Schizosaccharomyces pombe: one gene and its partners. Each later gene encodes a partner of the first gene's protein in a complex. Each region holds a gene or a part of one and is shown on either strand. Other genes may lie near its edges.

Region 1 (10,306 bases):
ATGAGAGTCACATTTACCTTCGTTTTATTTAGTTCATTTATTTACTCTCATGTTAGCGAGTGTTACCATTTTCTCGAAACTACCTTTTAGGATATTGGGCGAGTGGGAACGCATTGTTGTGCAGCTTATTCAACGTGTTTGTTAAACAGTTTAACGATAATAGCTACACCTCTTAATTCTACCATGCTATTGACTTGAAAAAAAAACATTTTCTGTTTAGGTTAGGGTTAATGTTGGAACAACCGTCACACATACACCGAACTTGCTGCTTTTCTAAATGTGTATTATCAGAGACCACCAATATGTCTGAATTTCAAAAAGTTGTTGTTATTGACGCCAAAGGGTATGTAAACAGAATAAATTTAAAGCTGTAATACTAACATGAATAGCCATCTTCTCGGTCGTTTGGCATCGGTCGTTGCTAAGCAGCTTTTGGGTGGGCAAAAAGTTGTAGTGGTTCGTTGCGAGGAATTGAACATCTCTGGTCACTTTTTCCGTAACAAACTTAAGTACCTTGCTTATTTGCGCAAGGCATGCCGTTACAACCCTAGTCGTGGTGCTTTCCATTTCCGCGCACCCTCTCGTATTTTCCAAAAGGCTGTACGTGGTATGCTTCCCCACAAGACCGCTCGTGGCCAAGCTGCTTTGGAGCACCTTCAAGCCGTTGAGGGTATCCCTCCTCCATTTGACAAGCAAAAGCGTGTCGTTGTCCCCGCTGCCCTTCGTGTTTTGCGCTTGAAGCCTGGTCGCAAGTACTGCACTGTTGGTCGTCTCTCTTCCGAGGTTGGCTGGAAATATAATGATATTGTCGCTAAATTAGAAGAGCGTAGAAAGGTTAAGAGTGCCGCTTTCTACCAAGCTAAGCTCGCCAAGCAGAAGAAGATTGCTTCCGCCAAAGAAGCTTCTCCTGTTAACCAAAAACTTTCCCAATTCGGCTACTAAATACTCCCTTTCATTTATTAGGTAGAAAGGTAGTTGTCTCCCTTTAATTATTCACTGTTTTTAACCGTCTCACTTTACTCTCGATGAACTTGTAGCATATATTCGTGTGTGTGTAGCATCCATTTTACTGTAATCAATTTACTATAAGGTAGTTTTCTAAAGTAAGTTTTGATTTTCGTTTAATTTATCGATTATCATCCATTAAATACATTTTCTATTTTATGATATCCTTTAATCCTTTTGTTTCAATGTAATATACCGCAAAACCTCGCATACATATACACTGTTTGCTAAAAATGAAGAAGGCATAATGATCTCTTTTAAGAATAAGCTCGTGGCCAGTGGTCTATTATCCAATTATATTGAATAAAATGAAGCCCTAAACACAACTTTGACAATGGGTGCCTTGGCATTTTGGATGGAATGGAAATTACCCTATTCGTAAATAGCACCCTCATCACCATCATAATCGTCATAATCATCTCCTTCACCATTGTCAAAGTAATTCTCACCATAATCGTTGTCATCATCATCTCCAAAATCTTCATCTTCCTCTTCCAACCCTTCGTCTGGTTCTTCTTCAATATTTGGATGAGCAGCCTCAGACGACTCATCTTTCAAATCTTGTGCTTTGATAGTGAAATCTATGAATGTCTTCATATCAAGTTTTCTTCGAGCTCTCTTACGACCGGTGGCAGATGCTGCACCCAGAGTCTTGCGAAGTTCCTCTGGAAAAAACTTGGGATCCAAATCAAGGTCTGAAAGCGATAAATTGTCGTTTTTCCGTTTGGGTTTATTTCGATCACTGTAACGAACTAGTCCATCCTCATTCCTTTGTACAACACTAATTGGATTCCTTCGAATATAAAATGCACTTTCATCTAGAAATGAAGTTCGTATCTCTTTGTAAAAACGGAGTTCAAGTAACTCCTCAGGTCGAATAGATCGTTGAAGTGGTATATCGCGATCAGGGTATAACTTTGTTGGTGTGGAATTGGCATTAAACTCAAGTACTTCTTGCCATGTCATTCCTCCCAAATTTGTAGATCCACGAGCTCCACGTCGCATTGTGATGATTGTAAGAATGGGGTTCAAACGTTCGAACTAGTGTGACAGAGAGTTTAACATTAACAATGGAAAAAACTTTTAAATACTTCTTTCTGAATTATTGATTGGAACAAAAATAATAAGCCAATTACCCCACCACAGTAACAAAAAGTTGAAAAAAATTAAAAAGAGCTGTAGTTTAGCTATGAGAAGTGATAGGTTTCAAAAAGAACTAAATAAATGTAGAATATTTAAATAAAAAACTAGATTTTGAGAAGAAACCAAACCATAGGGCTTCAAAATTGTGCCAAAAGTTGGTTAACGAAAATATCAAGTAAATTTAAAAGAGGATCACCAAAGATAGATGAAAGAAACTCGGCTTTTTAAAACAAAAAACAAAAAAGAAATAACCAATGTAAAAGTGATTAAGCGTCTCTGATTAATCACTTTGTACTTGCCAATGTCTGGCTATGTGTGGGTGTTTGTGTTCGAAAACTCAACCAAAAGGCACAACACCAAAAGCTAAGAAAACGATGATCTAACTGAGCTGCCTAATTCTTGAAGTTGTAAACCTATTAGAGAAAATTAGACAAAGACTCCTGTATTAATTTTCGTGTTTTAAGTATTACGACTATCACTTTCACTTGAGCGAGTTTTCAAGACCCTTTTTGCTTTATCCTTGTTAAAGTTACATTCTTTGGTTAATTCTGTTACTTTCCTTTTACCTTTGGTTCATCAATTTCTTTAGAATGGCTGGCTTTATGCGACAATTATTTGTTTGCATGATTGGGATTTATGGTTCATTTCTTTCTTGGGCAGTTATGCAGGAGAAAATTATAACAAGACCTTACGATGGTGAAAGGTTTTCTTCTCCTGCATTACTTAGCTTAGCACAGTCCTTCATGACAGTCCTTTGTGGGTTGCTTTGGAACTGGTTTCATGGTGTTTCTGCTAGAGGCTTGCTAGAGCCTAAGTTTTTAGGATACTTTTCTAGTATTGCCATATCGGCTAGCTTAAGTTCTTACTTTGGATATGCAAGCATGTTTCATTTGTCTTATCCTACTGTTATTCTGGGAAAATCATGCAAGTTACTTCCAGTTATTGCTTTACATGTGTTCGTTTACAAACGAAAGTTTCCTCCTCACAAATACCTGATTGTTACAATGATTACAGCAGGTGTAAGTATCTTTAGTTATTTTCAAAACACTTCTTCCAAAGGTAAACATGCTGAGCATGATAGTCCTATTGGCTTACTGCTTTTATTTTTTAATTTGCTCATGGACGGAATTACTAATACTACTCAAGACAAGGTTTTTGGTAAATACAAATTATCAAGCGTTACCATGATGATTGCGGTCAACTTGGGTATCGCATGTTTAAATGGCCTGTATTTAATCTCTCCTTTTTGCAACCAGCAGCCTTTGTCTTTTATAAACAGACATCCAAGCATCCTTAAAGACATGTTGTTGTTTGCTTGCACAGGTTCTGTCGGTCAATTATTCATTTTCTTCACCCTTGAAAAATTTGGAAGCATAACGCTCGTTACCATTACACTTACAAGAAAAATTTTCACCATGCTTCTTAGTGTTTTTCATTTTCATCACACTGTATCTTCGATTCAGTGGCTTGGTATTTTATTGGTCTTTTTGGGAATCTCCCTAGAAGCCGGCCTCAAAATACTAAACAACAATTCTACTGCGAAAAAAAAGGCATCATAGGTTTGCCTTTATTTTTTTAAAAAAATTTCTTATAAATACATATTACAAACTTTTAATCGTCACCATTAAATAAAAACTTTACCCAAATATGTACGTTATGCTTCAGAACGTAAAATCAGTAGTACATGCAAGTATCGGTATACTTTGCTAACAAACTCTGGAGCATCTTCAGCGAGAGCAAGGTCCAATTCAGACACTAACTGTTCCGCACCTTTATGTTGCCTGATATGATCAATGGTAAATGTGATAAGTGAATCCTCTTGAATACCGATATACTCGATAATTTTCTTGGTAACAAAAGCTTGCATTTCTTCTTTTAGAAGATCCTATAATGTGTTAGTTTAGATACATATAAAAGTTGAAAAAATCACAAACCTCAGTAACCTTGCTCCAGTCAATTGGTAGTGCCCACAGACTTTCTGCTTCAACAGGTATCTTTTCAATAAGTGAACGAAGTCTTTTCGTCTTCTCGGCATCATTTTCTTCCATAGCAGGCTTTGGTTTTTGAGGGTTGGGAGAATAGCCTTGCGGTTCTTCGTCTTCTTCTTCCAAAAGCAGTCTCTCCGGAAGTCCAAATTCTCGTCTTTCAGAAGGAACAGCTGGTTTCTTGGTTTGTATTTTGATTTTGAAGGGACCATTTTCATGTTGAGGCATTTCACTAGTCACCAGCTTACCATTTTCGACATAATTCTCTGTCTCAACGGTTGCACCTTCTCCACGGGTACGTAGTTCTCTTTCTTCCTCCTTTCTGTCAAGAGCATCTGCGTCTTCTTCTCGAGCACGAGCAACTGCACGATGTCTAATCCAAGCAGCACGATCGACAAAATATTCGTCTCGAGATACGCGAGCTTCCTCATCGTCATCAAAAGAAGCTAATTTTTCCGAAAGATAAGTACCAAAGGAAGTGTTATTAACACGTTCTTCTTCTTCACGAGCAGCTTCTCGTTCTAAAGCTGCAGTTCGGGCCTTTTCACGATTCATCCAGCGCCGTTCCCTTGCGTAATACTCTTCAGCCTCCAATTGATCCTTCCTTCTCTTCTCTTCATAATAAGCTTGTTCATCGGAGAACGACTCGGGAATGCTATCTTCTGCTCTTAAAAAGGCATTGACTGTAGACATAGGGATACGTGAAATACGATGTTTTGACAAAAGGTTTTGTAAATCATCATTTTGCTTTCGAAGCTTTTCTTGTTCTTTTCGTGTATACTCTTTATATAAACTGGCATACTCGTCCTTAGACCTTTGTTTTTCTCGTTTTTTCATAGCAGATTGATCGCGAAAGGATCGTATTTCTTCTTCAATAACCGGTAATAATTCAGGATTAATTCCTTCTAAATCAGCAGCATTAATGGGAATTTCCGAAGTTTTGACATTTTGTAGTAATTTTTCGTTTTTCTCTCGGGCCTGTCGAGCTGCCCTTTCAATGCGAGAACGGACATCAAAATTGCCTATATCTTGACAAATTCTTTCGAGGTTAAAGCGAATTTGCTGTAAAATGTTTATCTCTTTCTGCTTATTTCTTGCATAACGACTCGTTTGCCATTCACGATACAATCCCTCATTCTCAACATCTGTAATCAATGACAAGCGAGTTGAAGGACCACCTTCGTACAAAGGTGGAACAACAAAATCATTTAATGCTTCTAATGCTCTACTGAATTGTTCATTTGATTCAAACTCTGCAAATCCAAACGAAGTCATCGAGTTATCTGCATCAGCAACCCTTCGCCAAGAAGCCAGCTTCCCGGACAATCGAAGAATTTTATCCATCCAAAAATCATCCAATTCTTTCGGTATATTACCAATAAAGAGCATCCGCCGCATTTGTTGACTATTTGGAGGGACAAACGGCCGCGATTCCCTTTCTGTTGTAGACTTCTCTGAAGAAGGTGTTTGAAACGTCTGTTTCTCCTGAATCTCATTACTTTTTTGATTTCGGGGTAAGTTTTTTCTATCTTTTTGTTGCGATTCATTATCTCTTAAAACTTGTTTTATGGGAAGTTTACCAAACTTCAGAATTGGCTGCGAAAAATCATAGGGACTACTTGCCTCAACAGGATTATCTACCAAAAAAGCGCCTTGGCCATACAATTTTTTGTATAAGCTCCTGTAATCAGGAGGTAAAGGGGCGAATACAGGTTGGATTGGGACGACATATGGAACGCCGTTGCCAACCATAGGAACCTGTGGCATCATTGGCATACCGGCAGCCTCTAAATAAAATTAGATAAATTCTTTAGCAATGAAATTGAAATTACTTACGCGTATTCTGCCGCTGCATAGTTGTTGGAGGAAAACAGATTCATGTGTATCATGTAAAGGTATATAGTGAAGTGTAAATGTGATTATCCTATTTTTAGTTTATGAATTTTATGTCTTTTACGCTAATGCAAAAAATCGATGTTCAAGGCAATTTAACGAATTCTTTATGCAGTTGTACTGCGGTGAGATTCAGGCTTCTCAAATTGCCAAGAAAACGCAAAATAACTATTTAAAATGAACAGTTCTTATTTCCCAGGTGTTCTAGGGGTCAGATGGGTACATACAAATAGGAAATTGCAAAAGAGAAAAGGTACGAAGAAAATCCATTGAAGTTGCTATTGTCTTTCAAGAATATGATTTTCGATTGTTGGATTATTGTCTGCTAATACTTTATTGATATTTAGAGGAGCATGGTGCGTTCCAAGATTCGCTTCATTTTATGATACCCGCAGCAGAAACAAAAGATTTAGGTGCAAGTGTGACAGTTGGAAATAGTCTAACAAGAGCATTTCGACAAGTTGATAGAATATGTCAAAGGAATAATGTGCCAAGGCTATTCCGTTCACAGAGATTTTATGAAAAACCATCCGAAAAGCGATCCCGCGTTCGTTCAGAAAGACACAGGGCAAGGTTCCGCGCTGGAATTGTTCGACTTGTAAACTTAGCAAAGAACATGCGTCGTTGGGGTTATTGAGTGATTCTTCGAACATTTCATTCTATTTCTTGGTTACGAAAATCCATATTAAATTAATGTATTTGGAGATCGTTGTTCTCATAGCTTTTCATTTAAGACGAGAATGCTCGAAAACCCCCTTTTGAAGTAAAATAATATATTGCTTTTTACTTCTCCGCGGATTTAAGAGCTAGACATTTTTGGGAAATATTCGTTTTTTGTTTTGTCATTTCTAAATTTTTCCTGGTATCTTTGCTTAACCCCTCCCCTATCTTATGATTTTCTACTTAACAGGATTTATTGTCTAATAACTGTCTCTACCTTCTTTTATCTTTTCAGTTTGACAATACTGCGAGATTGAGCTTAATGTTTGCATTACCCTCTAATATTACTATTCTGTTTTGCTAGCCTATAACAATTTTCTTAGTTAAATCGATGAGTTTGTTACTCTATTTATTCAAACTAATGCTGGTCGCAGGAAGTTATTACTTCTGCATGTTATAATAAATGAATTCGTTTCCTTTCGTATTGCAAATGATTTTTTTATTATTGGCCATGTAGCAGCAATTTGATGGTTGTATCCCTTTATCTTATTATAATCGTCATGAGTAAACCGACTCTCAACGTGTAACAACCAAATATGCTTACCGCTGAATTTTCATTAATCTTGGATTTGAGCAATGAAATGATAACCATCCATTTTACATTTCTGTCAACGGAAATTAAAATAATACCGAAAATATCCATTTACAGAATCATTTTTTGCTTAATTACCAGATGACTATAAGTCCCATTATTGTGCACTGCATACCATAAAGTAATTTATCACTTCCTTAATAGATTTCTGATTATTTACTCTTTCATCCAGCTAGAACTAATTACGCATATTGGCCATAGCTCACAATATACGATGGAGCGCTACCACTATTCATTAGTGCATTCAAACACGGCATCCTTAATTACAAAACTCAGTATACATTCATTAGCGTTCGCTTATTCATTAGATCGAGCGTAGATCATCTGAATTTTAACCAATGGTAGATTAAAGGGGACTTCTGTTGATGTTTGTAACGACTCAACACTCAAACGCACTTCACCAGAACAAAACACTTCTTGCCTTGTTTAGGGCATCCTTCTTTTCCAAGAAGCGTCCTGGCATCTATCCAATTTTTGCCAAAAACCCCTAGTATTCCCAGTCAATTGTGGTAGTGGTTTCACGCTTAAATTTTCGCAATGTTTGGTCGCCTCTTGCTGTTAGGGATTTTATTCCATGTCGTCTTTCTCAAATCCATTTTTGATATCTATTTCGTAACTCCTCTAATACATGGCATGAAGCAGTATTCTGCAGGCGAAGCTCCTGCTAAACGCCTATTTCTAATTGTTGGTAAGTAAACATTTGTAATAGTGAAATTAGTGTATAGAGCTTAATGAAAAAAATGTCATATTTTCGTTTTGGATTTAGAAAAAAAAACAAGAAATAGTACAACTTTTTTCTTGTCCTTCTTTTTCTTATTTTACTAACCAATATGCTTATAGGCGATGGACTACGTCCTGATAAACTATTACAACCACATTCCGAAAAGGTCATTGGAGAAGAGCAGACATATGCCGCTCCATTTTTAAGATCAATTATTCAGAATAACGGTACTTTCGGTGTTTCTCATACTCGTGTTCCCACCGAGTCACGCCCCGGACATGTTGCTCTAATAGCTGGTTTTTACGAAGATGTTTCAGCCGTCACAAAAGGCTGGAAAAAAAATCCAGTAAATTTCGATTCTGTGTTTAATCAGAGTCGGCATACTTATTCGTTTGGATCCGAAGATATTTTGCCTATGTTTAGTGAAGGTGCATCTGATCCATCTCGAGTTGATACATTCATGTATTCTTCTGAATTGGAGGATTTCTCTAGCAACGGAATTGTTCTTGACGAATGGGTTTTTGATAGGCTAGATGAACTTCTCGCTCAGTCTTTAGAGGATAAGGAACTTTGGGATATGTTGCATCGGGATAAAATAGTATTCTTCCTTCATTTACTGGGCATTGACACAATTGGCCATAATAAACACCCTGACTCAGTTGAATATGTCGAAAACATACAGTATATAGATGGAAAAATTCAAGAACTCGTTGATAAGATGAACAACTACTACAATAACGACGGAGCCTCTAGCTGGGTTTTTACAGCAGACCATGGTATGAGTGACTTTGGAAGTCATGGTGATGGCAACCTTGATAATACACGTACTCCCATCATTGCCTGGGGTGCTGGTATTCAAAGTCCTACTCATGAGAAGAATTATGGGCATGACGAGTATTCTTTGCCATGGAATTTGACGGAGATAAAACGTATTGATATACAACAAGCAGATATTGCAGCTTTAATGTCTTACCTTGTCGGTTTAAATTTTCCTGTGAATTCCGTGGGTCAAATACCCTTGGATTATCTTGATTGCTCTTCTCGCCGCAAAGCTGAGGTTGCCTTAATGAATGCTTTAGAAATTGGTGAACAATATAATTTAAAGTCTGCCTCAAAGGATCAAACTAGTATTTTCTTTCGCCCATATTCTCCTTTGAGGAACTATACAGAGGTACAAGCATCCTTTTACAACTCAGTTATTGCTGACATAGAATCTGGTGAATATGAAATTGCTATTGAGCATTGTTTCCACTTTAGCCAAACGGTTCTTTCTGGACTACGTTACCTACAACGTTACGATTGGCTTCTTCTTCGATCTATTGTTTTCTTTGGTTATTTGAGTTGGATTGGATATGTCATATGCTTTGTCTTCAGCTTAAACATAGAACCATCCTCCAAAATAGTAAAGCCTGTTTCCGTCGTCAAGAGAGTCGCATTTAATATTCCTTTTTTGTTAATTTGCATCTTTTTTTATATCCAGTCTAGTCCACCATTTTATTATGGGTATGCTCTTTTCCCAACCATATTTCTGCAACTCATTCATTCAATTTTCCCAAATACCAAACTTGGTTTCAAAAATTTTTTAACAGTTGCAAAGCAAAAGCATGGGTTTTCTCTATTAAAAATTTTGTTTATTTCGTTGTGTATTCTCTGTCTGTTACAATTTATCGTTTACAGTTATTTTCACCGCGAAGGATTTTCCGTAATTTTAATGGGATTGGCCGCATGGCCATGGCTCCTTCATGCGGATTATGCTTTTTCTCACAAAACTATATCAGTCTCGTGGTCAGTGCTTACGAGCTTATTATGCTTTTTTACGATTTTACCAGTTAATAAAAAGGAATCGTTATTATTTATTTTCGCTGGAGGATTTGCAATGTCAGTTGCTGGGGTTTTTTATATTCTTTACCGACGAAATCAAGCATTTCAATATAGCTCAACGGTCACAAACAAACAATTGGTTTTACAAGTTCTTATTATTATGGCAACTGTCCCTGTTACGCTTAAAATTGCAGACAGTCTGCAAAGGAATATTGCCATACCACCAATTTTACGTTTAGTTGCATTTGGACTTTTCATAACGTCGTACATCATTCCAAGTCATCATATTCGGTCTTGTAAACACTATTTTCTTGACCGTCTGGCTATTTTGTTTCTCACATTTTCGCCTACAATGTGCATGTTATCTATTTCTTTTGAAGCACTCTTCTATGTTGTTTTATTTATAACATTAGGATTATGGATGGA
Region 2 (9,984 bases), on another chromosome or scaffold:
TTAAGCATTTTAACGTGTCATTTCGCACTGCTTTGTATTTTATTAATATTTTATTAAACAAAATGCGATAACTAGCGTAATTTGGAATAAAAAAACACCCATTCACCTCGTAGCATACACTTCGCTCGTGAACGCTATTTTCCACTTCCACTATCTCGTCTAGCGTGAATGCGGGCATAGCGATGCAGCGACACATTGCAGTATTTCACAATTACAAAAGTGTCGATCTTTTTGTTGTTGCGCTAAATAGTGTGCTACTAAACATTTTGATACATTCTATAAACTCGCCAGCGTTTATTCCATTTAGTGTCTTTCTCGTATTTTGAATTCATGTGTATGTGCTAGTAACTAAAATTTCTTCTCATCCAATTTTTTTTTTTTTTTTTTTTTATTTAAATTCTCTTCCAACCAACTTCTACTCGTTCATTTTTCTATTGACATTTGTGTTTAACTCATACCTCGTAATAATCACGTTTACCAATTCGACGACCCTCAGCAATTGACTCTCTGAGCCACATGAAATCATTTTCTTATTTTTTTTTCTAACTTTTTTGAAACTCCTCAGCACGTTCCCACAACTTTTTAGCAGTGTCAACAAAGCATTCCTCATCGGAGCGATACTTCAATCCAATCGACCTTGAGTAAGAACCATCCAATACCATGAATCCAGGATTGATAGACGCTTTTTCAGGCTTGGAAATAACTTGTTGCTTGTCAGGAAAGTGATTACGAAGTGTGCTGCAAATTTCCTCTGAAGTGAATAATCCCTTGCATGCAATCATTCGACCGTTCGATAATTTTTTGTTTTCTAGCGCTAATACATGAGCCGCTGCTAAATCGCGAACATCCACGTAATAATAATAAGGTGAAGAAGGATTGGCTTTGGAACCATTGATCAAGCTCCATATCACCAAATTCGATGTGTTTAGTGAGTCCATGTTCTTCATAGGTTGAATTGGCGGTCCAAACACATAAGGAGGATTGACTGTGCAAATATCAAACGAAGAGCGCTTTTGCGCTACATAATCTCTAGCGGCCCTTTCGGCACAAGTCTTTGACGCACAATACGCAAAGGTTCCGTCTTTCGTACTTATTCCCTGCTCATACGTGATGGGATTCCAATCCTTCTCCGTATACACTTTACCGCTATTAACGTCGATTTCGAGATTAATAATGGCGGCAAAAGAGGAAGTAATCACAATGCGCTTCACACTTTTCTCACCATGAGCTGCCTCTAAGACACTTAGTGTGCCTTTAACTGCTGGATCCAAGAGTTGTGTTTTGTTGTCAGTAATATTATCAACAAACAATGGAGACGCTACATGACAAACGTAATCCACATTTTTTATGGCATCTTCGAATGCATTAGGATCGACAATTCCTTGACAATTACAAATTCCACTTCATCCTTAAAATCAGGATTCAATCGAACAAGTTCATTCGCTTTTTCCATGCTTCTCACCGTACCGCGCACATGATATCCAGCTTGTAGCAGTTGTTTAGCAACATGAGCTCCAATAAATCCTGTAATCCCGGTGACAAGAACCAGTTTTTGGCTCATTATGGGTGATTAACGATTTTAGCAATAATACAATTATAACCTTGTTACAATAAATATAAACGGTAGTGTATCGTGCTTATGTAAGCTTGCTTAAGTAATAACAACCTTAGTCAGCGTACGATTATTGTCTTACTTTCAAATTTGCACTAGGACTTTGCGCCTTGTCATATATCCGCCAGCTTTCAAATAATCGCTTCGTAATACCACACAAACCCTATGTTAAGTTAAATAATTGTGGAATGGTATCAATGAATGAGTGGATTAATTTTCCAGTACAGGTAAATTCCCACCTTTTTCCTTAACTGAAAAATGGATGAAACTGAAATCATGAATCTGTCCAAGGAATTCCAAACGTGACAAGAACAAGCAGTCGTTGTTTGTTGGCCAAGTTATTAGTTTTTACATTACAAATACAGAACAGTTGAATGAAAGCACAAAAGAAAAAAAAATCTGAAACAGCCATCAAATTTAAAGGCAAACAGTACACAAAAAAAAGTATTTGTTTATGAAAATTATTGGTAGTGCAGATTATCTATAAACATGTAGTGGTAATAGTAAAAAGGTGGTGTATTGATATTATGATGAATGAAACCTATGTAGTTCTTCAAGAAAGTTATGCTTAATTCAGACTACATTTTCTGGAAATTCTTTTGCCTTATAACTTTGATGAATTTCATCTATGTATTTAATAGTATATCATTTAGTGATGAATAGTGAATAAATTTAGAGCTCCTTATGTGACAAACAAGGAATTAACTTGCATTCGATTCGTTCGTCTAGCACTAAATGAATCTGTGTTATTTGTGTGTGTAAAGAGATTAGTAAGTAGGCTCTAAAAAAAAAAAAAAAAATGTGTGTATATTTTTAATTTATTTTAAATATTTTTCTCCTTCGGTTCTTTTCTTCTTCTTCTTTTTTTAAGTTTTATTTATTTATTTTTTTATTTTTTTATTTTTTTTTTTTAATTTCAAACAGCTATGCTATAGTCTAGTGCTTCTCTTGCAATTTGACAATGTTTTCGTAAATTTTGCCAGATAAATGAGTTTTTGAGCAACTATTTAAATTCGGTTTAATATATTTAATAAACCTATTTTATTCTATGTCGAGAGAAGATTGAGATGATTAATCATTCCCTCTATCTATTGATTGTTTCATTCATTGTAACTAACAAATTCTATGATACTTCGCCTATCTGATTTACCATTATTCTCACTGTACTTTCTTAAAATGTTCCACTTTGGATGGTTTGGATTCTAAAAAAAGAACACTTGACTTTTCCTTTTTTTGCAAATCCGAATATTTTTAATTCTTGTCTTTTTACTTCTTTGCCCCCCTTTCACTTTCTTCTGCTCCTATCGTCTCCCCCTTTTTTTTTCCATACCTTTCGATATCTGAATCCTAACACAATTTCCTAATGTTCAAGAAAAAAGAATATTCGTTGATATATAAAACAACTTTAATTATCATTCTTTAAGTCATTTCATGTTTATTATTTTAATTTTAGCTTCTCTTTTGAATGCTTAGAGGCACTTTTTTTCCTTCCCTGTTAATTTTTTGCATTCCTTTTCTCTCTTCTCTTTTTCTATTTACCTTTTAACACTAGCACTGCTTTATCCCATGCAACCCTTAAATGTTCGAATCGATAGATAATAGAAGAATCATGTAAAGACTAAAAGGTGATTTTTCTCCCTTTTTTTTTTTTTTTTTTTTTTAAACGACTTTTATTGTATTGTCATTTTGCAAAGTGAAACCAATTTTATTTCTATTGACCCACCACTACTTTTACTAAAACAACAATAACATTAATTCCACAATTTTTTTTTTTTTACCATCTCCTTTAAATCAAAATCCAGGCTAAACCATTCACACCACCTCTTTTCATCTCTTCGTTTTCCTTCCGCTTTTTTGTCTCCGTCGCTAACGGGATCTCTCATTTGTTTACTGGTTATTCCTTCATTCATCAACATCACACTGTCTTTCTTTCCACCACTCACCATGCCAAGTGCCTGAATTCATCTGAACCGTTTCTGTTTTTTGCATGTTATTTTAGGGATCGTATTTCCATATCTTTTCTTTCTCATTTATTTCCAATTTTACATCTTTCCTTTGATTATTTACTTTATATATATGGACAGATCGACATACTAACGTGCACTTACCGCTTCTAGTTAGTCTCCAGTGTGTGACCTTTTCGTCATTACTTTGGTACATTTCCCTTCCATCGGAAAAGTAAGCTACTTCCATTCTTATTCATATTTCTTGTCTTTTCCCCATTTTTTTTTCTTTTGTAGCAGCGAAGAAGAAAAAGGGACATTCATTAAAACCATCTCCTTCAAAAACTCGTAGTTTCGGCTCATCCACTCGTTTCCTGTTTCTGTTTACATTTTTTTCACCACCAACTCTCACTACTTCTCGCTGCTCTGATCCCAAAACTACCTTACACTACACTACACTACGCTGTACTATACATATTTAGCTAGGAGAAAGCAATATCACTAACCAACGAATTACGATTTTTTGCCCAGTTTCGGTATAATACTTCCTCCTTCAACCCGGCCTTCCGACGTGATTTTCGCATTCTCTCCTTATTTATGAAAAATAGTTTCCCCTCCCTTTTAATCAGCTGTTAAGCGTCCTTATCTGCTTCTTTCTTTATAGGCTTTAGACGTTCAATTTGCTGAAAATTTTGTGGTTCCGTTTCTTTGTTTTCCTTCCGTGTTTGCTAACCTTTTTTCGTTGTTTTTGGCTTCTTCTAGGGAACGTCTCGGCTCAGTGCTCCACAATAAGCTATCGCTTAATTTCACTCACTCAGCTTTAAAGGAATACTGGAGTGGAACGCATACCCTAATACCGGATTGGACACTTTAAGGCTATAGCGGCTTTGAACCCCCCCTTTGTACTAGTAAAAGTAGGTGGGTGCAATATCTTCGTCGTAACCTCAACATACCACTTTACTTATTAATAGACATAATTCGTTGAAGCAAACGAGAGCTTTTTTGCTCTCTTGCCTTTGTTTTCTTCTTATTTATTTTTAATTTATTAAACATTTCTCTTTTTTTGACGTTTCTCCTTCGTTTTGACAATATTACGAGCATTGGCTCAATTTCTTCTCTTTTGTTGAGGTGGTAGGCCTTCAGAATATCGGTTGGAATTTTCTTTTTCATTTTGTTTTCTCCCTTTTCTTTATTCCATTTACAACTGTGCATTACGCTTTACCTACGAAATCCTAGTTGCTTCGCACTTCCCTCGTTTATCGATTGTTCGTTCGTACATCTGTTCCGTTTGCATTCCAATTCAATTTAATTAAATCAAAAATTTCATATCTATTTTTTTGTTAAATTGCCACATTTTCCATACAGAAAACATGAGCTCTTCTTCTAATACCAGCAGTCATAGATCTTATGGCTTACGGCGGTCCCAACGCTCCATGAATCTAAATCGTGCTACTTTGCTCGCTCCTCCAACTCCATCGAGCCTGTATGATGCTAACAATTCTACTTCATCTACCTCTTCGCAAAAGCCAAATACCTCTTTCACTAGCTTATTCGGTCCTCGCAAACAGACCACTTCCTCCCCTTCCTTCTCTCATGCCGCCCCTCTTCACCCTCTTTCTCCTCCTTCTTTTACACATTCACAACCCCAGATACAGGCACAACCTGTACCTCGGCGGCCTTCCCTTTTTGATAGACCCAATCTGGTATCACGCTCTTCCTCTCGGTTAGGTGATTCTCCATCTCTTTCTCCTGTTGCCCAGGTGGCTAATCCCATCCACCATACTGCCCCTTCACCCTCAGACGTTCGTGCGTTTCCCATTCATAAAAATGCATCTACTGGTGTAAAACGAAGTTTCTTTTCTTCCTCCATGTCAAACGGTGCAATGTCCCCTCCTTCCCACTCTCCATCTCCCTTCCTTCAAAGCTCTCAACACATACCTCCTTCTACTCCTGCTCAGAAGCTGCGAAAGAAAAACAATTTTGATTCTTTTCGTATCTCAAATTCCCACATCTCTCCATTTGCATCGGGCTCCTTCTCTCCTTTTGCAACTTCATCGCCTAATTTTTTATCGACTTCCACACCCGCTCCTCCTAATTCAAATAATGCTAATCCTTCTACCCTTTTTTCGTCCATACCATCCTCTCGACACACTACCTCTAATCATTTCCCTTCTAACTCCGCTCAATCCTCTTTGTTTTCTCCTACCGCTCGTCCACTTACTGCACGCAAGCTTGGGTTTGCCTCCAGCCAAACTAAGTCTGCCGTATCTAACAACCATTCACGAAATAGCTCTAAGGATGCATCATTTATGATGAAAAGTTTCATCCCTTCTAATCGCTCACATCCTCAAACCCAACAAAATGAATCTTCCCTCTTTTCTGATAACAGTATGGTTAACTCCTCTTCTAATTCATTCTCCCTTTTCCCCAATGCTACTCTACCTAACCCACCCTCATCTGAGTTGTTAACTACTCCCTTTCAACAAATCAAACCTCCTTCCCAAGTTTTTATGAGTACAGGTCTTTTATCCAAGCAACATCGTCCGCGAAAGAATATTAACTTTACACCTCTCCCTCCTAGTACTCCTTCAAAACCCTCTACCTTTGTTCGTCCACATTCTTCCTCCACAGATTCGCCTCCATCACCCTCGACTCCTTCCAATACACAAACCGACTCTTATTTTATTCAACGGGAAAACACTCCTACAAATCACAATTCCATTCCTACTATTCAGTTGGAGAAAAGTTCCATGGACTTTTTGAGGTTCGATCCTCCTCCTTCTGCTGTAAAAACTTCTCACAACTATGGATTACCATTTCTATCTAATCAGAGGTGTCCCGCTACGCCTACTCGTAACCCATTTGCGTTTGAAAATACTGTTTCCATTCACATGGACGGTCGGCAACCTTCGCCTATCAAATCGAGAAATAATAATCAAATGTCATTTGCCATGGAGGAAGAAGCTGATGTATCTCAACCCTCTTCTTCAAGCTTTACATTATCCTTTCCTTCTGCTCTCACCTCGTCCAAAGTATCATCATCTACTTCACATTTGCTTACACGGTTTAGAAATGTTACTTTACTAGGAAGTGGAGAGTTTAGTGAGGTTTTTCAAGTTGAAGACCCTGTGGAAAAAACTTTAAAGTATGCAGTGAAAAAGCTCAAGGTAAAGTTTAGTGGACCAAAAGAACGTAATCGACTACTTCAGGAAGTCTCTATTCAACGAGCCCTTAAAGGCCATGATCACATTGTAGAGCTTATGGACTCATGGGAACATGGGGGGTTTCTTTATATGCAAGTCGAATTGTGTGAAAATGGTAGTTTGGATCGTTTTCTTGAAGAGCAAGGACAACTTTCAAGGCTCGATGAATTTAGGGTATGGAAAATATTAGTAGAAGTAGCTCTTGGGCTACAGTTTATTCATCATAAAAATTATGTTCATTTGGATTTAAAGCCTGCTAATGTTATGATAACATTCGAGGGTACCTTGAAGATTGGTGATTTTGGAATGGCCAGTGTTTGGCCTGTTCCGAGAGGCATGGAAAGAGAAGGTGATTGTGAATACATTGCGCCTGAGGTTCTTGCTAACCATTTGTATGATAAACCTGCTGATATTTTCAGTTTGGGTATCACAGTCTTCGAAGCTGCTGCTAACATTGTTCTTCCTGATAACGGTCAGTCTTGGCAGAAATTACGTTCCGGTGACTTATCAGATGCTCCTCGACTTTCTTCAACAGACAACGGTTCATCTCTTACTTCTTCTTCTCGTGAAACACCGGCTAATAGTATAATAGGCCAAGGGGGACTTGATCGCGTTGTAGAGTGGATGCTATCTCCAGAGCCTAGGAACCGACCTACCATAGATCAAATTTTGGCAACTGATGAGGTTTGCTGGGTTGAAATGCGTAGAAAAGCCGGAGCCATAATTTATGAAGGTATTCATGGATCTTCTTCTAACCCCCAGGGTGATCAAATGATGGAAGATTGGCAGGTGAATGTTTAAACCTTTTAGAGACTCTTGTTCTCAATGTTTATTACTGCGAAATTGCGAAATAAGGGAATGGCTTCCAAAATCTGTTTAGCTTCATAAAAGCAAACACTTTAATTATTTTTAAACGAAAAGTTTAGTGATTGGTGCTTATAATTAATTTTGGTTCATTAAATGCTTTTTTTTTATTTAAGGATACGTGTCCGTTTTAACCGAACCCTTAAATTTTAAAAAATTTTAAAAAATTATTAGATGATAGTTTTTCTATTTAATTTTTTGCCTTTTCACCGGATTATCTATTTGGTTTTCTTCAGTCAAATATCCGGTTAATTATATCTGAGGCAATATGATGATGGCTATGGAAACATGCCATTCAGTTCTTGATATGGGGAACTAGAATGTTTCCTTAATTTAAAGCCTTGACGCCGCACATACTGTACGTGCTTTGTCTACTGAAAAAATGTTAGTGAACGATTGTTTTTTATATCGCAAATCCTTTCTCTAACATGTAGACTCGGCTTCAGAGGAGTTATTATTCCTATTTTTCATCTATTTTATTGTCTAATTTCTTATGTCACTCGTTTGTTATCGACTTGATATGTTGCATTTACTCATCTTTGCTAGCATAAAGTTCGAATCCCGACTGTTTATCCACTTTTTTTTGACTTCTGTTTTCATAATAATTTAGATCGATCGATGACACTGCCTATTATTCTTGTACATAGTTTACGATCTTGCTGAATGGCAAATAATTGGTTATGTTTATGGAAAATGCCACGATTTACTAACGAAGTTTAATAACCCGTTAGATTTTTTATTATTATCATATCATATAATAATTAGTAATAATGTTAACGTTATGCTTAGTTCCACTTCTGTAATTTTTAATTTCCCTTTTTTTTTATGCTTGTGAAAGCTGTGTATATGCTCAAGTTTGTGATGCCTTCAAATTAGTATAGGATTTTAATGACCCGTTTAACACTTCATATCTAAATAAACATTTATTTTGAAACAGAAAAGTTAGAAAATTCAGGTATCATCACGTTTTCATTTATCAGACACAAGCATAAGCTATAAACTATTTAACGAGTGTCTCATTATTTCACTAAACACCTTCAAACATTGAAATATTACTTTGACAACAGCACGGGAGAAAAATGCTTGGGAGACGAATATTTTCTCCAGCTCCAAACAGAGGATTTATTTTATGCAATCTCATACAATCTAATAACTCTACGCGAAGAGGGTTTTCGGACAATCGAAAATTTAATGAGAGAAATTCTGAAGCATCTTCAAATGTAGGATTTCAGAGAAGAGTTCGCTCAAATATTCCATCATATTTATCAGCCTCCGTAGAAGAAGGTGATATTTACTCTCCCAATGATTTACTGTTTGAAACGGTAAAGGCGAAAAATCAAGCCAAATTCTATGAACCAGTAAGAGAAGATTGCTTTAAGACGGTGAACGAAAACCCTATGAATTATTGGAAAAACCCCGTAATATTGTCAAGATTCGTTACTGAACTTGGTCGTATTAAACCCAGAGGTGATACTGGCCTAACAGCAAAAAATCAACGACTTCTTTCTAGGGCTATCCGAAGGGCTCGAGCTGCTGGTATAATGCCGACGAAATACAAATCAGTTTATTCGGAAAATTAAATTGTACTGAATATTAACAAGGACGTTCTATATCTCATTTCATCACATTGGTAGATATACTTACCCACTGTCCCTTACTTTTTTTTTCTTAAGGAACGATAAACGATCTACTTTACTTTTTAAATGATTAGCTCACGTTAATTAATATTTCAGGTGTACTTTGGTTTTGAATAGTCTTTTTTGGATTAAAATATACATGACACAAAATCATAAACCGCTGCTAATATTAGTGGCTAACATTTTTTAATGGCTTTAAAAATATAATATCTTTGTTATCTTTAATTTTTAATTTAGCTTGATTGAACTTTTTTGTAGGAGGAGCGTTAGTCGATACAATGTATTAAAAAAATTATCTAGTAGTAGTTATTTTACTTATCTAAAGAGGACAGAGAGGGAAGAACAAATAATTATATGCAAAAGAAGAAAAAATCCATCTAGAAAAGAATTGGGTTTTATAGAACGATATTAAAACGATGAGTGCATCATGGAGCTAGTTCAAAATATATGCAATAGGGCTTTTCATGAAGGTATATGAGATAAAAGAACAGAAGTTAAATCAGCTTGTGGTATGTAATTCTCCGACTTTAACGAAATTAGAGATCCTGAGAACTTAGAAGAATGACCTAAAGCTGTAAATAGCTGAGCACTCTTATAGGGATCTGAACTCTTTTTATGAACCCTTTGAATGGCCCACTCGATTGAATATAAAGCTTCGTGAATGGCTTGCAAAGGTGGTATATTACAAGCCAGATTCGATGCAATGGCAGCTGTAAGAGAGCAAC
Region 3 (10,574 bases), on another chromosome or scaffold:
CGCCCTCAGCAGATTGGTATCCTTTGCACCACCTGAAGTTACATTTTCTTTACCGGAGTTAGATTTTCTAACGTCTGTATTTAACTTTCCACTTGCTTTGCGTAATACTGCAACACGAATACTGGGAATAATACTTAGTACAAAAGATTCAACTCGTATATCAGAAGTACTTTCTTCTTGCTTCACTATTATCTCAACGTCTAACAATAAAAATGACAATTTTTTCAAGGCTGAGACTGCTCTTCTAATCATCGGCTATACTATCTCATACTTGGCTGCTCAAACTAATTCAGCAGCCGTCGATTCTTTCATTCTCAATTCTGGCAGTATAAAAGAATTTTTTTCTGTTTTATTGGAATATCTTGGTTCCAATGTTTTGCACAAAAAGACCACTTCACTTGCTATTTATAAAGAATTGTTTGTTTATTTTACTAGAGACTGGATTACTTCGTATGGCGTTGACTTTGACGAAATTTTAAATGTTTTGCTACGCTTTCTAAAAGAGGTTGAAGATACCAACGTAAAGGTCGAATGTTTACACGTTATATCACGTATGTCGTTATCATTTTCAGATGATGAAATGGCAGAAAAGATTCTTAAAGCCATCTATGTTACATATCACATGGACTCTCCTGATATATTGTTTGCGAGTGCTGAAGCCATGTCGATACTTGCTGGTGGACATAGAAACGTTTTCGTGAAATCCACGTGCCCCATTTTTTTTCAAAAACAATTGGACAATTATAAAGCAGATCACTATTGCTTTACCCTTGATTTCATTTTAACTGATTGTGTCAATTCTCCAAAACCCTTACTTCGTAGGGCCTCTTCTTTATGGCTTTTTTACATAGTTCGCTATTGCGAACCTCAAACTTATACAATGACGCGGCTTAATGATATTTATCATTCATTTCTCTCATTTTTGGTTACTCAAGATGATTTTGTTCAGGATACTGCGTCAAGAGGCCTCAAAGCTATGTATGATGTTTTAGAAGGGGACGAAAGAAAATCATTTACTGATAATCTGATAAGCACAATTGCTGCTGACCGCGTTGATGAAAAAACCAAAGCTCCTTTGGACGCAGATACTGCCCTTTTCACTACAAATAAAGGTACTGTAGCCACCTATAAGGATATCTGTTCTTTAGCATCCGAGAGTGGTAATCCTGATTTGATTTATTCATTCTTGAGCATAGCAGGTAACAGTTCTCTCTGGCAAGCCCGTAAGGGATTGGCATCTGGTATAAGTTATTTAGGTATTCCCGAGGATCAAAAAAGAAAGACGTTTTCATTTGATACTTCTAAAAGCTCTTCATTATTAAAAAAGCTTTATAGATTTAAACATGACCCTAATCCTGATGTTGCCAAAACAATGGGTGAAATTTGGGACACATTAGTACCTTCAGATCTCAATTTGGCATCTCATCGTAAATACTTAGTGGAGGATTGCCTCGAGTTTATGGGGAGCAGATCTTGGAGAGATAGGGAATCCAGTGTAAACACTTTGGTTAGTCTTCTTTCTAATGTTCCTGTGACCGAGTATCTAAATCAATTAGAGGATATATGGAACATGTCTTTTCGAACTCTTGATGATATTAAAGAGAGCGTTAGGGAAGCGTCCTTTCCACTTTGTAAGCTTTTAGCAAGATCAGTTATTCAATCTTTGGAGAAGACTTCACACAATACTAGCCCAAGCGGAATTTGCAAAGGCAAACGGATTGTTTCAGTAGCTTTACCATTTCTATTAAAACACGCTTATGATCAGGCTAAAGAAGTTCGTTCACTTACATACTCTACCATCACTGAACTTGTGCGTACTGGCAATTCTACTTTGACTTCGTTTGTGCCGGCCATTATGCAGGTTATGCTTGAATATTTGACAGAGTATGAATCAAAAGCTGCTACCTTTTTGGATTTTCACGCCAAAAATTACAGCATTAAACAAGAAAATATTGACAACGCCAGAACGTCAGCCGTTCAGAGCTCTTCAATGATGGATACGCTAGAGAAGTGTATCGGCCTTTTGGATGAAAGCTCAATGCAAACATTATATCCAATATTAAATAGAATGATTGCTAAACCTGGGGGTGTACCTACCAAAATAGGCAGCGCCCAAGTGGTGATGCTTTTAGTAATTCGTCGTGGACCACTCGTCAAGCAGTTTGCTTCAAAGCTGCTTCAATCCTTGAAATCTTCTTGCTTTGATAGAAATGCTGCAGTAAGTGATGCATTTGCATCTGCTATTGGCTATTTGTTACGAGTTTGCCCGTTGGAAATAGCTTCACAAACTTGTCAAGAAATCATCGATAAATTCTACGATGGAAATACCAACGAACAAATAATCAGTTCCAAATTGACCGTGTATGCGTCGAGATACGCACCCGACGTCTTCCTTAATCTTGGTTCTCTTTTTTTTCCTTTCATTTTTTTTGGGAAACATTCTTCTTCCATTTCGATAAATGGGGTTTTAAGTAAAGCATGGGATGAACTTTCATCTGCCGGAAGCAGTGTGAACCTGTATTCGGAAGAAATTATCCTTCTTATCCAAAAAAACTTAATTGTTACAAAATGGGATGTCAAACGTCCTGCTGCTGCTGCATTATTGGAATTTGTCAATACTTCGCGACTCACTTATCGACAAAATGATATCTACGTGCTTTTAAATGAAACAATGAAAGATAAAAGCTGGCCTGGGAAGGAATTACTGCTTGAGGCTTATGTTAAATTTTTAATTAAATATCCTGAGTTCATTAAATCGCAAAAAATGGAAGAAGTTCACCAAGTGATTGTTAGAGAATTTAAGAGACGCAATATTGTTTACAAAAGCCATGCAATGGAAAGTGTTGGTGAACTGTTATCTGATGAAAATTATAGAGAGCTTGATTTGTATGAACTATCATTAAATGAATGTGGTACATTTTTGCAGAAGGAATGGTTTGATAAAGATGATGAATTGAATCTTGAGGAAAAAATTGCGCTTCAGCGCAATAGCGTCTATGCCATGTTTAATTCCAGCAGACCTGGAAATAAGAATTGTAATGAGATGTTGCTAACTTACTTGTCAAATGCCCTTGATGAAAATTATTTACATTGGAATGTGAAATTAGCAATTCTGAAAAATGCTCCTCACTTAAAAAAGATAATGTCTAACGAGGAATTCTTACTGTATAAAGATATTCTTTATCGTTGTTACGAAGACAATCCGTCACCAAAAGCAAAAGATTATGCTGAAGTCATCTTCGGCGAAAATTATTTAAGTGTTTTAAGAAATTAGCTTCATTATATTTATAGCTAGTGATAAAGCTGATCAGCCATTTGAACTTTCTAAACACTCATTTCTAATGCTAACATTGTAAAGGATTAATTAAAGAATATTTTATACAAACCTTTGACTAATGTATTCATATTTGATTTTAAACCTAGAATGTAAGCGATTGATGTTGAAAATCCAATAACGATAATAATAGCTTTTACAACAAATAAACAACAAGTGAAGAATACTAGATGCCAGTCACTTGGTTTTTTTTTTTAAGATTCTTCAACTTCACGTGCTTTTCTAGCGGCTAATTCTTCGGCCTTTTTTTGGTTTTTCAAGTATTTAGCCCTCTCTTCGCTCATTGCTGCAAACATCCAAAACTGCCACATCAAATCGCAAAATGCAAAAGTAAAAGTAAGGCTGTTGCTAGCGATATGCTCTTTTTTGAGGTAAATAAAGCCGGTAAGGATAAAGTCAAATATAGCACGAATTGGAGTAATTCCACTGAAGAACAGGAAATTGCTTTGTAACAATGAGATAGTATAAATCATTCCAAGAATCAAAAATACCAAGCCGGACAATGCAAGAGTCGATAAGTTGTCTTGTGTTACTATCAATGGTTTCTAAATTATAATGGTCAGATATCACTTCAAACATTAATCAAGAAATTAAAAAAAAAAAAAAAATACTATCTACTAAAACAATAAAGTTATAATCACATACAACTTCCATAGAAGCACCAATTAACGCGACCAGTCCACTTTCTACTACAAACTTGGGATTCCATAAAAATCCAATGCCAGCAAATGTTAGCATACAACAATAAAAAAGAACTATCGCTCGAAAAGAGAACAACATCGTGAAATCAGAAGACGACAAATGAGCAACTATTAACTTCTAGAGACTGTACTCCGTGGTTTAGAAAGAGAATGTAAAACTAATAAGTTTTTTTCGGAAAGAAAATGTAGAGAGTTTCGATGAATATTTCGTTCGTACTTTTGTTTTCTCAACGTCGCACCAATTATATGCACCTGATTTTTGCTATTTTACGGTAGTATCAAGCTCTGGGAAGTATGTACTCTCAATTAATGGTTATATTACGATAGTTGAACTTAACTTCACTATTGTTGCTAGTTGCCAGCGCTCGCTATCTGTATTTAGAATTAGAAGGTGAATTGAATTGAGAAATATAATCAATATAACAAAATTACAAGTATACGTTTGGTTTTATTTCTTCAAAGTTATTTTGGTATGAAAAAGTGAGATGCTGACAGATTTCAAGTCAAGAACTCTATATTTTTTAAAACCACTTCAACGAATTTTAGGATCTTGAAAAGTACATCATTTTTACTAATTATAGGAGGGTATTTTCAAAGGATATATTGTATGTAGCATCTAAATAATTTTTATGAAGGTCTCAAAGGGTTGACAACGGTTGTTTTTGGAAATACATTACATTGACCATAAACTGAAACGATGTATTTTACAAAAGGCAATTCAATTTTACAAACTTTCAGCTAAATATAAATTATGCCAGGATTCTCGTTCATTTGACTAGAATGTGTGCTTGTGATATTTGTTCTCGCATTGGTAAGTGCCCCGAAACCTCTTTGTAAGTGGCACCGTACCACAAATTGCATACATACAATCTATTATATCAGATATACAGTTTTATCTTGGGTGGTAGATAATAGATATATAATTTCCAATTCATATTTATATTGTTTTACCGGTTGATTGAAATTTGCCAACCAATTTAATAAAAAGCGTTTGTCAAGATGCCAATAGATACACCGTTGATACCCCATAAACCTATTTCAAGATATCGCTCTGGTAGATTGGAAGGGCTGGAAAGTGAGTCTTCTTCTGAAAGTGATTATGAAGAAGTTTCCGATTCACATGATCAAGAAAACTCGATTTCTTCATCAAGACATGTTATTACTCCAGTATTCGAGAAAGAAGGAATATCTGAAACCAAAACGTCTTCTAATTTCCAAAACATTAACCCAGTCCAAACAATTGATAACTCTGCTTCAGAATATGAGACTGACGCATCATCGGCAGAAGGGGGATCTAACTCTGCAGCATCTAGTTCTGAAGAAGAAGACTCTTCTGATTCGGAATATGAGATGGAGCTGAGAAGGCGGACACTTCTTCTTCCGCCAAAATTTACTAGTAAAGTCATCAAAAATCGGGCAAAAGCCAATGAAGAAGATACTGAGGTGCTTAAAAAAGTGACTTCACAAAAAATATTAGAAGAGACTATAAAACGGGAATTACTATTGAAAGAAACTAAAAACAATAATGAATTATTAAATGATATCGATGATACCGATGGAATTGATCCGCAAAGTGAATATGAATTATGGAAATTAAGGCATTTGCTTAGGAAAAAGAGAGACAAGGAAAAGTCACTGGAATTAGAAAGGGAAAAGATGGCAATTGAAGAAAGAAGATTAATGAATTCTGAGGAACGCGAAGCCCAAGATTTGAAGGACGCTGAAGCAAGTCGGAGAGGAAAGAAAAAGTCATCTATGCAGTTCTTACAAAAGTACTATCATAAGGGTGCATTCTATCAAAACGAAGATATTGTGAGTAAAAGAGATTATTCAGAAGCCACAGAAGGGGAAGTTCTTAATAAAGATTTATTACCCAAACCTATGCAAATTAGGGGAGATCTTTTTGCGAAGGCAGGCCAAACACGCTGGACGCATTTGGCAAATGAAGATACTACAAAAGAAGGATCTGCTTGGTATGATCCTAAAAACCCAATCTTGCAAAAAAATTTGCATCGTCTCGGTGGACTTCATTCTGACAGCCCACTCTCGAAGCGAAAACGTACCTAACATCTGTATATACATAAGGACAATTTTGTATTTCATTTAGCATTAATTTTATTTAACATCACATATATATTTAAATACAACATTCTTCTGAATTAATATCAAATGTGCACCACCCTTCCTCTTTGTAAGTGTTTAGCATAAGCATACCAATTCTTACCTTCCCGCAGTGCAAAGAGTACAACACATTTTTCGCCTTGGTCACCCATGTTACGAAGAGGTGCGCTTTCCACAATATTAAAAGGTTTAAACGGCCTTTCACTGCGTAGTCCCATACCGATTTGGCATGTTTCAGCTTCTCCCGAAGTTGGGTCGAAATATAACCTACCAACGGTTCCTACAACTTCACACGTTTCATATCGTCGTAAGTAAATTAAATACTTCTATTTCTAACTTCATTGCGTAGAAATCGCAAAAGCAAATTTCTTTGCTGGATATCGACCTTTGTCAGCTAATCAAATATGTGTGCCTAAAGTTGAGTCCAAAACACAAGTTTCGCAATCGCAGGATGAGGAAGATCAACCCCAGGAATATGTGTTATCTTTAGAGGATGGCTATTTGTATGCTCAATCATTCTCTGCATCTGGATCCGTAACTCAAACTCAACCCGCTCGTATATCTACTCAAGTATGGGAACAAATATGTGATAAGCTGATTTCTATTACACCTTTAGATTTGACCAGTGTCAAACGAAAAAGAAAATTGAAAATGAATAAACATAAGTTCAAAAAGCGCTTACGCCGACAACGAGCACTTAGGAAACGTCTAGGAAAATGAGATTATTAGAACTTATTTTTACTCGGGTTATATTTTTAGGTTGGTTGGATTGAGAGTTTAAGCTGTAAACAAGCATTTTCAAAATGGCTGCAAGCATTTATGAGTCTCTATTTTTAACTTGGATATCAGTACCTCTCTTTTCTTAAGAAACGTTTAATCATTTAATGTTTACTTCAGGCTTTTTTAACAAGGAATACATTTTCTCTCATGTATATTCTATCCTTTAATGTTCCGGTATGAGACAATTAGGTCGGTGCTTTTTTCTTGCGATAAAATCATTAAACAATCCGCGTTTATTTAACTATTTTCAAAAAGCGGAGCACTTATTTGTTTATGCCGGCTATCTCCTTCATATCAATTAGCTTCCCATGTCTAGTACTATTACAATACCTCCATCTTTGGCCCTTCCTTTTTATATTTTTAAATATTTGTCGATGGCTAGAATTAATGACATGTACACTTCATGTGAATCATAAATATGTTGTTGTATATCAAGCAATTAATAAACGCTTATTACACTGTATCTGTTTACACATAGAATAAAAGAACACATTGGTATGAAAAATAACTTTAGTAGTCGAAATTATTTCCTTAAAACAATTTTGAAAAAAAAAAAAAAAATTTCTACATTTCTTTCTTTAAAAAATGTTCTCACTGATTATAGCTAATTACAATAATGAAATGTAACGTACTGACGACTGACATAACAAATAACAACATAAGGAATATTGAAGAGCGTCCAACTGTATAATTTTTAAGGCTTTTGTTAATCTTGTCTTAACCGATCAAGTTATGCCAACATGCTTTCTAGAGAAGAGCAAAACCGGTGTTTCGTTCCTGTCCGACGAATTTTAGACAATGAAGACTTAAAATTATTTAAAGAAGGAGATGCTTATAAGTTAATTGATTCGTTTATTTGTGATCTTGACGAAGCTGTGAAAGACAAGCCTATTTCAGCTTCAATTCCGCAAAGCTCATCAATAGAGCATGTATTAAATATACTAGATCGAGTTGGAGAAATTAAACAGGAAAATCCTGCAATTGATAATATGGGGTCGAGGTTTGGCAATCCTGCATTTCAATCATTTTACGATCAGGTATACATTGAAACACCAAAGTTGCACCAAGTATTTGGAATTGAGCATAATGCGGCGATGGAGGCAGGTCGATATTTTTATGAAAGCTTTGGAAACAGAAAGCGAATAGATTATGGAAGTGGTCATGAACTTTACTTTATGTCATGGTTACTAATTTTAAAGCAACTAGGCATTTTTACTAAAAATGATTATCCAGCATTGGTCGTTCGAGTTTTTGTTAAGTATGTTGAATTGATGAGGTCTTTGCAAATTTTTTATACTCTCGAACCAGCAGGATCTCATGGTGTATGGGGATTAGATGATTTTCATTTCCTCCCTTTTTTGTTTGGTGCAGCTCAGTTGGTTAATCATAAATATTTGCGTCCCAAACATGTTAGAGATCCAGAAATTTTGGAGATGTGTCGCGCTGATTATATGTACTTAGGTTATGTTTACTTTTTAAATAAGTTGAAGCCTTCTGTTTCACTACGTTTCCATTCTCCAATGATTGACGATATTTCTGCCGTAAAGACTTGGTCTAAAGTCAACGAAGGCATGATAAAAATGTATAGAGCAGAAGTTTTGGGTAAACTTCCTATAATGCAGCACTATCTTTTTGGCCATTTAATCCCAGCTTCACCTGGGATGTCTCCTGCTCCCCAAGACGGTGATGATTCTGAGGTGACACATGTTCATTCTCATTATGCTGACTGTTGTGGCATCAAGATACCAAGTGCGATCTCTGCTGCCAAAAATAATGGAAGTAGGATTCCGTTTGATTAAAAATTCTCGAGGGAAAAAAGGCGTTTTTAACGAATCTTCACGAATTTATGCGATACCCATATTTGTCTGTTTACTTTAAAAGTAATATCTAAAGTCAATAAAATTACCAACAGTACAGCATATTTGTTTATTTCATTATGCTAAAAAAACTCTACATAAACAATCAACCCTAATTTTAGCAGCATTAATATAGCCATTTCATCAGCACAAAACCCAAAATAATTGTCGTTTTAAAAATAAGGTGACAAATCATAATTTTGAGTTCTGAAATAAAAAAATTTGGAAATATTTATTTTCGTTAAGAACCCAAATTTGTCAAAATCATAATGCGTGGAAAAGTACAACTTTTATATAACATCTCTTTAATTTTAAAGGGATAATAAGATAAAGCTGATATGTTTAGGGGAGCTCGAATAAACCTTATGAATTTGCTGCTAGAAGCAGATACATGGAATGAATTAAGGATTTACATTAAGAAGCAACCCAGAACCACTGGAACTTTGGGCATTAGAACCAGCTCCAAAGGGAAGATAAGTGACCTGTGCACCTTTATTAGCAAGTGCAGTAGCCACCTCTTTACTTGTCTCGAGACGACGAATTTGGATTAAAGCGCCACCGGCTTTATCAAGTGCTTTGGAAACAATATCAGCCGCTTCTGCTTCACCCTCAGCGCGAATAACATTAGCTTGTCGCTCTTGTTCGGATTGTTCTACTAAAAATCTAGCACGCTCGGCTTCTTGTTGAGCAATTTGTTTTCTCTCTACGGCTTTCGTAAATTCTTTTCCAAAAGTCATATGAGTAATGGATACATCTTCCAACCGAATTCCAAATTCGGTAGCTCGTTGAACTAGTTCTTGGCGAATTTTGGCAGAAACTACTTCTCTTTGAGTAATGAGCTCTGCTGCATCAAACTGAGCAACTACGGATTTTAAAATTTCGTTTCCAATAGAAGGTAAGACACGCTCATCATAATCTAAGCCTAAATTTTGGTAAATTTGAGGAAGCATTCCAACTTCGGGACGGTGTAATACACGCAATGTTAAAGAAACCATCTGTAAATCTTTACTACCCGTAGTAGTTGCGATATTTCGTGGACGTGTGCGTACATCATAAACAATTGCCTTTTGTAACCATGGAATCAAAAAGTGTGTGCCCTCCTGAACAACCTGTTTCTGCACACCCGACAGACGGTCAAACAAAACTGCTCTTTTTCCCCCCGGTACATCGTAAATCGAAGATTGTAATAGAGTAAATCCAATACCTATTGGTATTGCATAACGTGCAACTCTCTCCAGTACTACAGCCATCTCTTTAATAGTACGTTGAGCGCTGGACTAAAAGACCAAACTGAAAGGGAAGTCCGTTTGAGCAAGACTAAGTATGACTTAACTGCAACCTCTAGGAAAATCTATATTCATGATTAATAAATACATGATCTTATTATTTAGAATTTTAATAGTAAAACTAAATAAAAATCTTGAATAAAAAACCAAGAATTTGTAAACGTCTGAATTATTATTGGTCTAGCAGACCCGCACACTTACCCTTAACAAACATCTGACTTTGTAACGGCAATCATCAATATATTATTGTTTTAACAAAATGGGTGGTGCTGCTGGAGGAAAAACTTATTTGTAAGTGCAACTTAAAGCAGTTTCTGTTTATAATGGGTTATATGACTTTTCTTTGACGCTTATAGCGTGAGACGGTGGACACAATTGGTGTTTATTTCGTAAAGCCATTTTCGTCAGCGAAGTTATATACATTCAAATAGCTGCTGAGAATATCATTGAACGTTTTTATTTATACTAACACATGAATAGAGGATGGTGGGGCCAT

Evidence for each region.
Region 2: mrp21 (region 1) and rsm18 share a complex: the UniProt entries of both Schizosaccharomyces pombe proteins name them as parts of the mitochondrial small ribosomal subunit.
Region 3: mrp21 (region 1) and cox24 share a complex: the UniProt entries of both Schizosaccharomyces pombe proteins name them as parts of the mitochondrial small ribosomal subunit.

The regions. Positions count from the first base shown.
Region 1 is NC_003423.3:614,036-624,341, reverse strand, and holds mrp21 (mitochondrial 37S ribosomal protein bS21m), read left to right. Parts: upstream 1-6,168; 5' UTR 6,169-6,203; coding exon 6,204-6,279; intron 6,280-6,373; coding exon 6,374-6,663; 3' UTR 6,664-7,151; downstream 7,152-10,306. Other genes in the region: rpl1601 (60S ribosomal protein uL13), read left to right, coding at 303-343, 390-942; DNA-directed RNA polymerase III complex subunit Rpc31, read right to left, coding at 1,378-2,010; ER uridine diphosphate-glucose transmembrane transporter Hut1, read left to right, coding at 2,739-3,707; U1 snRNP-associated protein Usp107, read right to left, coding at 3,803-4,033, 4,083-5,920, 5,970-5,988; its8 (pig-N family GPI synthesis protein), read left to right, coding at 7,876-8,026, 8,179-10,306. UniProt on the Schizosaccharomyces pombe protein: Component of the mitochondrial ribosome (mitoribosome), a dedicated translation machinery responsible for the synthesis of mitochondrial genome-encoded proteins, including at least some of the essential transmembrane subunits of the mitochondrial respiratory chain.
Region 2 is NC_003421.2:717,309-727,292, forward strand, and holds rsm18 (mitochondrial 37S ribosomal protein bS18m), read left to right. Parts: upstream 1-8,681; 5' UTR 8,682-8,701; coding exon 8,702-9,202; 3' UTR 9,203-9,484; downstream 9,485-9,984. Other genes in the region: protein kinase Wee1, read left to right, coding at 4,926-7,559; SPOM_SPCC18B5.05C (phosphomethylpyrimidine kinase), read right to left, coding at 9,722-9,984. UniProt on the Schizosaccharomyces pombe protein: Component of the mitochondrial ribosome (mitoribosome), a dedicated translation machinery responsible for the synthesis of mitochondrial genome-encoded proteins, including at least some of the essential transmembrane subunits of the mitochondrial respiratory chain.
Region 3 is NC_003424.3:4,756,773-4,767,346, forward strand, and holds cox24 (mitochondrial 37S ribosomal protein mS38 ), read left to right. Parts: upstream 1-6,270; 5' UTR 6,271-6,306; coding exon 6,307-6,463; exon of another isoform or gene 6,464-6,505; coding exon 6,506-6,876; 3' UTR 6,877-7,450; downstream 7,451-10,574. Other genes in the region: proteasome assembly chaperone Ecm29, read left to right, coding at 1-3,274; SPOM_SPAC1782.02C (uncharacterized protein), read right to left, coding at 3,529-3,879, 3,980-4,114; splicing-associated factor Saf3, read left to right, coding at 5,035-6,102; ypa2 (serine/threonine-protein phosphatase 2A activator 2), read left to right, coding at 7,677-8,735; prohibitin Phb1, read right to left, coding at 9,194-10,042; qcr8 (ubiquinol-cytochrome-c reductase complex subunit 7), read left to right, coding at 10,338-10,369, 10,559-10,574. UniProt on the Schizosaccharomyces pombe protein: Component of the mitochondrial ribosome (mitoribosome), a dedicated translation machinery responsible for the synthesis of mitochondrial genome-encoded proteins, including at least some of the essential transmembrane subunits of the mitochondrial respiratory chain.